Arabidopsis thaliana: one gene and its partner. The protein of the gene in region 1 interacts with the protein of each later gene in a pairwise test. Each region holds a gene or a part of one and is shown on either strand. Other genes may lie near its edges.

Region 1 (3,874 bases):
GCCTCTCAGTATTGAGATATAGATGTGTTGATATATTGACATAAGATAGGCTTGATCTGCAACTCTTGACTATGTGGGGCTTAACTCTTCTACTGAATTTTTTTTCTTTGTTACAGAACAATTCGATGCCGTTTAATAAATATGCATTTTTGACGACCCACAATTCATATGCCATTGAAGGGAAAGCGCTTCATGTGGCGACCCAAGAAGATACTATAGTTCAACAACTCAACGTGCGTTTTATTAATCAATAGACAAAAAATATATGTTACTTCATTATTATTATTTTTCTATCTTGTGAATGTTATGTTTTTGTTCAGAGTGGTGTTCGAGCATTGATGTTGGATACGTACGATTACGAAGGAGACGTATGGTTTTGCCATTCCTTCGACGAACAATGCTTTGAGTTCACCAAATTTGTAAGTTTAATCTCTAAATTTCTCTAACCAAAAGAAAACCGAGTCAAACCAAAACAATTATTTAGCAAACGTTTGAAAATAGAGACTGGTTTAGAATATAAGAAAGTAATAAACAAAAGAACACAACTTTTTTTGGCATTTTCAAAATAATCTCCCTTTTTGGTTTACCCTAGTGTGTGTGTGTGTGTGTGTGTGTTTGTGCAACACGTTTGTGTTTTCAATTTGCAAAATGTATTGTGAGACACATAATTATTTGCTTTTGAAACAATTGGAGCGTTAGTTTTGTCTTTTATTGGAAGAGAAAATATCCTAACATGCAATGTTTTGGTATAAATGATTTAATTTGGCTTGTATTGTTTTGTTATGTCACTTTTTTAGAATCGGGCGATAGACACATTCAAGGAGATATTCGCGTTCTTGACAGCGAATCCATCAGAGATCGTGACATTGATCTTGGAGGATTACGTCAAATCGCAAAACGGGTTAACCAAAGTATTTACCGATTCCGGTTTGAAGAAATTTTGGTTTCCGGTTCAAAATATGCCTATAGGTGGCCAAGATTGGCCGTTGGTTAAGGATATGGTCGCCAATAACCACCGGTTAATCGTTTTCACTTCAGCTAAATCTAAGCAAGAAACCGAAGGAATAGCTTACCAGTGGAATTACATGGTGGAAAATCAATGTGAGTGTGATGAGATACCAAAATTCCGGTTTAATTTTAGTTTGTTTAGATATCACGGATTAATCCCAACGTGGTATTGATTGTTAGATGGAGACGATGGAGTTAAACCAGATGAATGTAGCAATAGAGCAGATTCTGCACTGTTAACCGATAAAACGAAAGCTTTGGTTTCGGTAAACCATTTCAAGACAGTTCCGGTTAAGATATTGACTTGTGAGGAGAACTCTGAGCAACTTCTCGATATGATTAAGACATGTTACGTAGCCGCAGGGAACCGATGGGCCAATTTTGTCGCCGTCAACTTTTACAAGGTAAGGTTATATTTATTTTTAATTTTAATATCTCCTTGAATGAATTTTAAACTTTAATAACTCCTTGAAACAGAGGAGTAATGGAGGAGGAACGTTTCAAGCAATTGATAAACTAAACGGAGAGCTTCTATGTGGACGTGATGATGTGCATGCTTGTTAATTTGACTTGAATTTAACAAAATGCATTAGTCTTAAAGCTCGCCTTAGTTTACAAGATATTTTTAAGATATATATATATATATATATATCAAATTATTTTAAACATCTGGCTAATCTTAGCATGCATAAAGCATTATATTTTTGGGCTTAGTTTAACTCAAGTTTTTTTTAAAATAGGCTCCAAATGGAACAAAAAATTAAAGGAAACTAAACATTTAGATACCTACGAAGTAAACTTCTGAAATCTGAACAATATTTTGACTGTTTTTTTTGTCTATTTGGTTGATCCGTTGATTATGGCGTTTGAATAATAATACGTGAATGTATCAATTGTCATATTCGGTGGTAGTTTAGCAAAAAAATAAATATGCTTAAAAAAAAAGCAAAAAATAAATATATGGGGTGGCAAAAAAAAAATTGTTGGGATACTTTTTGGCTTGATGTCAAAAAAACAAAAAGGTAATAAGGAAATTTTATAATCTCAAAACAAAATTTATTGGGCCGACCCGCCAAAAACACATATGTATTATTGGGCCAATCCGCCAAAAAGCCCATTTATACGATGGAAACAAAAAAAGAAAAAAAATATCGGTATCGTCTTCTCTCTGGTGTTTTCCAGTAATTCCCTGAGAAGTAGAAGTAGAAGCGAGAAGGAATTCGAAGAAACAGATTTCAACAATGGCGGCAGTTCAACAGCAACAAGCGATGCAGAAGAACACTTTATACGTAGGAGGTTTAGCTGATGAAGTTAACGAATCGATCCTTCACGCCGCGTTTATACCTTTCGGCGATATCAAAGACGTGAAGACGCCGTTGGACCAAGCGAATCAGAAGCATAGATCCTTCGGATTCGTTACTTTTCTTGAGAGAGAAGACGCTTCTGCTGCTATGGATAATATGGACGGTGCTGAGCTTTATGGTCGTGTTCTCACTGTTAATTATGCTCTCCCTGAGAAAATTAAGGGTGGTGAACAGGGTTGGGCTGCTCATCCACGTACGTTTCCAATTACTGTTTCTCTTCTCCTTTTGATTTCTGAAATTTGAGCTATTGATAATGTTGATTTGGGGGTTTATGAAATTAGGGTTTGCAATTAGTGTTCTTTGTGATTTATTATTGATTCTGCAATTAGTGTTGTTAGATTTGCGGATTTGAAGTTAGGTCAAGTTTGTATTTGCTTCTCGATTGTATATATGATTAAGCTGAGAGGTTGTCTCGTTGTTTAACAAATGGGACTTATTGGTGTTGTTGGTTTGTTTCAGTTTGGGCAGATGCAGACACATGGTTTGAGAGGCAGCAACAGGAGAAGGAGATTCTGAAGATGCAAGCTGAGAACAAGGCTGCCATGGAGACTGCTGAGGAGCTTCACAGGAAGAAATTGGCGGAAGATCGACAAGGAGAGATGGAGGAAGATACAGATACCAAAAATGATCCTATGGCCAGAGCAGAGGCTGATGCTCTAAGTCACGGCGATGCCTAATGAAAGTAAGCGTTACCGGATTCTCTTATGCACCTTGTCCTGTAGGATAACAAGTATGTTTTCGCCTGAGTGTGTAACACTGTCACTATCACCTCATAGAGTTTTTGAGGTTAGATTGTTTCTTGAGGTTGATTACCATGTTATTGCTATAGTTAATAGATTTGGTAGTTTGGTGAAACTTGCTTGCTTAGAAAAGTAAGAGTCATGTATCTAAACCGGATGCTCTTCATACAAAAAGGGTCATCACTAATAACAAGAACCAATTGCTTTTGACTCAAAGAAGAAAACCTAAATCCTACTCGGAAAATTTAAACCTGTCAAGCTTAGACCCCGCTTGTTTATCCATAAACCAAATCAGATTCCCATTGCTCGGGTGGACTAGCCTTGCAGGCAGAGACAGAGAGCTGTCTGGTAAGGGCAAATCATCGATTGCTAAGTGGATAGCATTGGCTTTGGATTCGCCGGTTGCTACTACGACAACGTTAGCAGCTGAGTTGATGACGGGCAAAGTGAATGTGATTCTCTCTGGTGGCGGTTTATGAGAGTCGGTTAGGAATGTGACCCAATCGTCCTTCACCTCAAGTGCTGGGTGGTTCGGGAAGAGTGAGGCTACATGTCCATCTGAGCCCATCCCAAGCAAGATCAGATCAAACCTGGGACTGTCACTGTTGTCTGACGCAGCCACGGTTCGTGATCTCACCATCTGTCTGATGGCGAATTCATACTCTGTTGCAGCTTCCTCCGCTGAAACTGTGTCGTTAATGGAACATATATGTCTCGGAAACACATTTACCTGAAAATAACAAAAAAAAATCAAAGTCAACA
Region 2 (4,760 bases), on another chromosome or scaffold:
ATATATAAGTGTAATATAGTATATATAATAACTAACTTGATATCATAAAAATACTGATAGGAGGTTATCATGCGTGTATTTATATGTATGTACACAGATATATATATATATATATATATATATATATATACATAAAGTAAATAATAAGTGGGCTTGGAATTTGAGAAACGGTGGGGTTTCGGAACTTGATGAAACGATTACAAAATGCGATCTTGCAAAAGGTAACAGACTTTTCTCTCTTGTATGATTAATACTAGTGTATATTTTACGAATTTATTTATCTTTTCTTAGGTACAGTTTTTTAACGAAAAATGTCAAATAGGAGGCTAATTCATCAAATCATAATCATGATATCCTCATTTTTATTTTTTTTGTCAAAGATCATGATATCCTCATACAGGTACAGAGTAATAGATTTGCACCTAAGATTTTTCATCATTGCTCCTCCTAATCTATATATTCCTTTTTGGATTCCCAAAATAATAGCAATCGTATAAATTATTTGAGTACTACATCAAATATGAAATCCTAGCTACAAGAAAGTGATAGATGTGTGTATATTCCCATCACATCTCCAGCCATTTTTTTCCATGGAAAATGATTTCAGAATTTAACTTCTAGAGGATTTGGATTTATTTTGGAGAAATAATGATTACAAAATGGTGCAACTATCCTTCTCTATTCGTTTGAACGATTCAAATATGATCCTCCTGCCTAAATATATGGATTTTATGTTCAAAACACGAAATTCGCTAGAAATAGAAGTATTGTATTTTTCCCAAAAAAGAATTATAGTGTTTTGTAGAAATAAAATACAATACAAGAAGAAACTAAATTATTAATTTATTTTATTGAATAAATACATAAAAATAGGTGTATAGAACACATGAACGCCGTTTGAGGGACGTAACGGGACGCCGTGACAAAAGCTGGCTGCCGTTTAAGCGACACGACGTTAACTCCCACTACCTCTTCATCTTTCTCTCGAGTGCCCTGACGCGTTTTCTGCTTTTTGTTCTATCTTTCTTCGTTTTTCCTTTTTCTTATTAAATCAACAAAGAAAACAAATTTGTCTACACGATTTTAGTTAATAGTAATGTTGAGAAAACACATGTAATTCGACGAACAGATACACATTCACTTTTAATCATATATGGAGTAGCAAAAAAAAAAACTGTTTTTAATTTCAAATGTGGTTATTCTTTCTTTTAGACATCAAATTCGAACCAATAATCTTAGTTTGGAAAAGCATAAGTGGAAAAATGTTTATAAGTCTGTAGTTTTCCCACCAACTTAGTTTTTTTTTTTTTGATAAAGACCAAATTAAGGTTCAAATATTGTGAAAGTTGCAAGGCTGCATAGGACATATAATAATGAAAAATATTTGAGTTAATGAATAATTTTCATGCATAGATCAAATTAGTCATTGTTATAACATTTCAACTACCTAAAAATTTTACGTATTGTTGTATACTGCTACCAAAACACAAAACTGTAAGTCTTTTCGCTTGATCCTATAATCGTTCTAAATTTCCAAAAAAAAAAGAAAAAAAAAAAAAAAAAAAAATCTAAAACCTCATAGTTATTTTAACCAAAATACAGACTTTATTAATATCAACAAACATTTTTAAAAAGACCCCTCATCACTATTATATTTCAAAATCAGGCGAGTACAAAACAAATATGAGCATTTTAATCACATGTAAATCTTCGAACAAAACCAATCCAATTGGACCCACCTGCACCTTTTCATTATCCAACATTTATATATTAATCGAAACACTCACATGGATGGATTGGATTGTCTCAACTCTCAACCCAAAATCAAACAAAATATCCAGCAAAACAAAAACTTTCTCTCTCACTGTCTCACACACACAATCTCACCTTCGTCAAGCTTTTGCGAGATGGGTGCGATAAACCAAGGAATAAGCTTGTTTGATGAATCACAAACCGTCATAAACCCTATTAATACCAACCATCTAGGTTTCTTCTTCTCTTTCCCTAGTCACAGCACCTTATCTTCATCATCTTCGTCGTCTTCGTCTTCTCCTTCTTCTCTTGTGTCTCCATTTCTTGGTCATAACTCCCTAAACTCCTTCCTTCATAATAACCCGTCTTCATTCATAAGTCATCCTCAAGATTCCATCAATCTCATGACCAATCTCCCCGAAACCCTAATCTCGTCTTTGTCCTCATCAAAGCAAAGGGACGATCATGATGGTTTTCTTAATCTCGATCATCATCGTCTTACCGGTAGTATTTCATCCCAAAGACCCCTGTCAAATCCATGGTAAGTAGTTACTTACGAAAATACTAAAATTAATCATTATTTTCAAAATAAGTATTTAAATATATAAACCAAAAGCTCGTATATTTCCCTACTAGTTACTTTTGCTTTATTGTACAGAATTTTCAATTAGTTTGAGGATGCACACATGACTCGGCTACTTATATATAAGTAACTAATGTTTATATGTTAATGTGGTTTAGGGCATGGAGTTGTCAAGCGGGATACGGAAGCAGCCAGAAAAACAACCATGGAAGCGAGATTGATGTTGATGATAATGATGATGAGGTTGGCGATGGTGGTGGCATTAATGATGATGATAATGGTCGTCATCATCATCATGATACTCCCAGTCGTCATGATAAACATAACACAGCGTCATTAGGCGTAGTTTCTTCTCTGAAGATGAAGAAGCTTAAGACAAGAAGAAAAGTGAGGGAACCTCGGTTTTGCTTTAAGACACTTAGCGAGGTTGATGTCTTAGATGATGGATATAGATGGAGAAAGTATGGCCAGAAAGTTGTCAAAAACACCCAACATCCCAGGTAATTTAATTTAATTTTATGATTTGAAATTGGTTCCGAGTCTTTCAATTCTCAGCCGTTCTTTAATTAAGATGACTACATATCAGTTCTTCCACTTTTTTGCCTCTCATGATTCCTTGAAGGTTAATGATGACTTCTCATAAGAATTTTACGGTCTTGATCAATCATCAGTTTTTTTTTTTCCAAGTTTTTAACGTAAACTAATATGATGAAAATTTGTAGTGAATTATGAGCCATGTAATGATTAATCATTCATTTACGATTTTTCTAAGGGCAATGAAAATTATTAGTAGAATCTTTCTGGTACGTTTCTCTGTATATATGTAATTAAGTATCAGTTCTGTTATAACAAAAACTTTTGTCCCTCTGGGGATTAGTAGCTATAGAAAAATAGGAAAAGAATATAACCGTTAAGAAAGGAAAAAAGTAATTTCATGTAGAAATATTTGAGTGTTATGTGAGAATGTGAGACATAATGGGGTTGGGTTTCTGTAAGATTCTTTCTCACATGTTGACATTTGACATTTACAAATAATAATGATTTGTTTAGGTAACTTGTATACTCATTTTGTAAAGTTTTATCATGAGCTTTGTGATAAAGTTCCATTAGTTGCCTTAATATCTGTTTGATATTATATCACTCTATATTCAACTATAACTAGTCTAACCAAAAATAAGACTTGTTTCCCATAAAATTTGATATAAGATTAACTAATATATATAATATGTGAATGGCAGGAGCTATTACAGATGCACACAAGACAAGTGTAGAGTGAAGAAGAGAGTGGAGAGATTAGCAGATGACCCAAGAATGGTAATCACTACTTACGAAGGAAGACACCTTCACTCTCCTTCTAATCATCTCGACGACGACTCTCTCTCCACCTCTCACCTGCACCCTCCTCTCTCCAACTTCTTCTGGTGATTTCAATTTGTATTTCCATTGAATCAACCAATATCAAAAATCAATCAACCTTGCCTTGCCTCAAACTAATTATCGTATTATATATTAATCATCAACACCTAGCTCGATAAAAAAAAAGTTACACATATATAACATGTTCTCGTTAGGAAACAGGTATGATCGATGTTTTTATATTTGTAATGTGGACGATGTCACCGTGGTTTGTTTGTGTTTGTAAGATGATTAATGTACCATTTCCAAATTGAGGACTATATAATATATAGTTGAATTGATTTTATAGTTACTCTGTTGGTTGGTTTGTGTGACATTATTTGGTATATAAATGTAGTCCACATTCGAAAAATTTAAAGTTTTTATCATTAAAATTGTACTAACAAAAATTTGGCCGAAAATGCTTTCTATTTTTGACAAAAGGAAATTTAAACTCTCCAAAAAAACGCAGCAAAGACAAATACAAAATTTCGCTCAACGATACCTTCAACAGCTAAAGGAAATATATTTCATTGGGCCTTAGTTTGTAATTGGTGGGCTTTTAAATGTATCTTATTTTAAACGGAGTCAACAGAAAATTATATTGTAATGAGTTCCAAAAAACAGCTTATTGAGTCTATGTTTCAAATTGATGGGCCTTATAATGGGCTTCTTTAAATTTTACACTTGTTCAATAAAGACAGATTACCATAATGAGCCTATAGACGAGGAAAATTCTATTGGGTTTAATGATAGACCCAAGTCCACGAATATAGCGATCACGTGACAAACCAAGAAATTCGACAAATGGATAAGCGCGTTTAAGCACGTGAGCGTCTCGACTCTCTCGATTCCCAAAAGTGTAATGTAAAACCTTAAATAGTGTAATACGTTGATCAACTTAGATTACGAAACCTTATTACGAAAAGAAAACAAAACTATTAAAGAAATAGAAATCATAAGTTACGAGGACATGAAAAGTTGTGACCCGCTTGCTCCGCCGAGTCCGAGGGAGACTCCCACGTGATTC

Evidence for each region.
Region 2: the proteins of ATE1 (region 1) and WRKY13 interact in a two-hybrid assay, tested with the Arabidopsis thaliana proteins (one large-scale study listed by BioGRID).

What each region holds. Positions count from the first base shown.
Region 1 is NC_003070.9:4,691,131-4,695,004, forward strand, and holds ATE1 (ATPase E1), read left to right. Parts: upstream 1-2,151; 5' UTR 2,152-2,249; coding exon 2,250-2,565; intron 2,566-2,633; exon of another isoform or gene 2,634-2,831; coding exon 2,832-3,049; 3' UTR 3,050-3,280; downstream 3,281-3,874. Other genes in the region: AT1G13680 (PLC-like phosphodiesterases superfamily protein), read left to right, coding at 117-233, 321-419, 798-1,101, 1,189-1,412, 1,486-1,572; PGL1 (6-phosphogluconolactonase 1), read right to left, coding at 3,345-3,842.
Region 2 is NC_003075.7:18,331,937-18,336,696, reverse strand, and holds WRKY13 (WRKY DNA-binding protein 13), read left to right. Parts: upstream 1-1,803; 5' UTR 1,804-1,907; coding exon 1,908-2,293; intron 2,294-2,493; coding exon 2,494-2,835; intron 2,836-3,573; coding exon 3,574-3,760; 3' UTR 3,761-4,091; downstream 4,092-4,760. UniProt on the Arabidopsis thaliana protein: Transcription factor. Interacts specifically with the W box (5'-(T)TGAC[CT]-3'), a frequently occurring elicitor-responsive cis-acting element.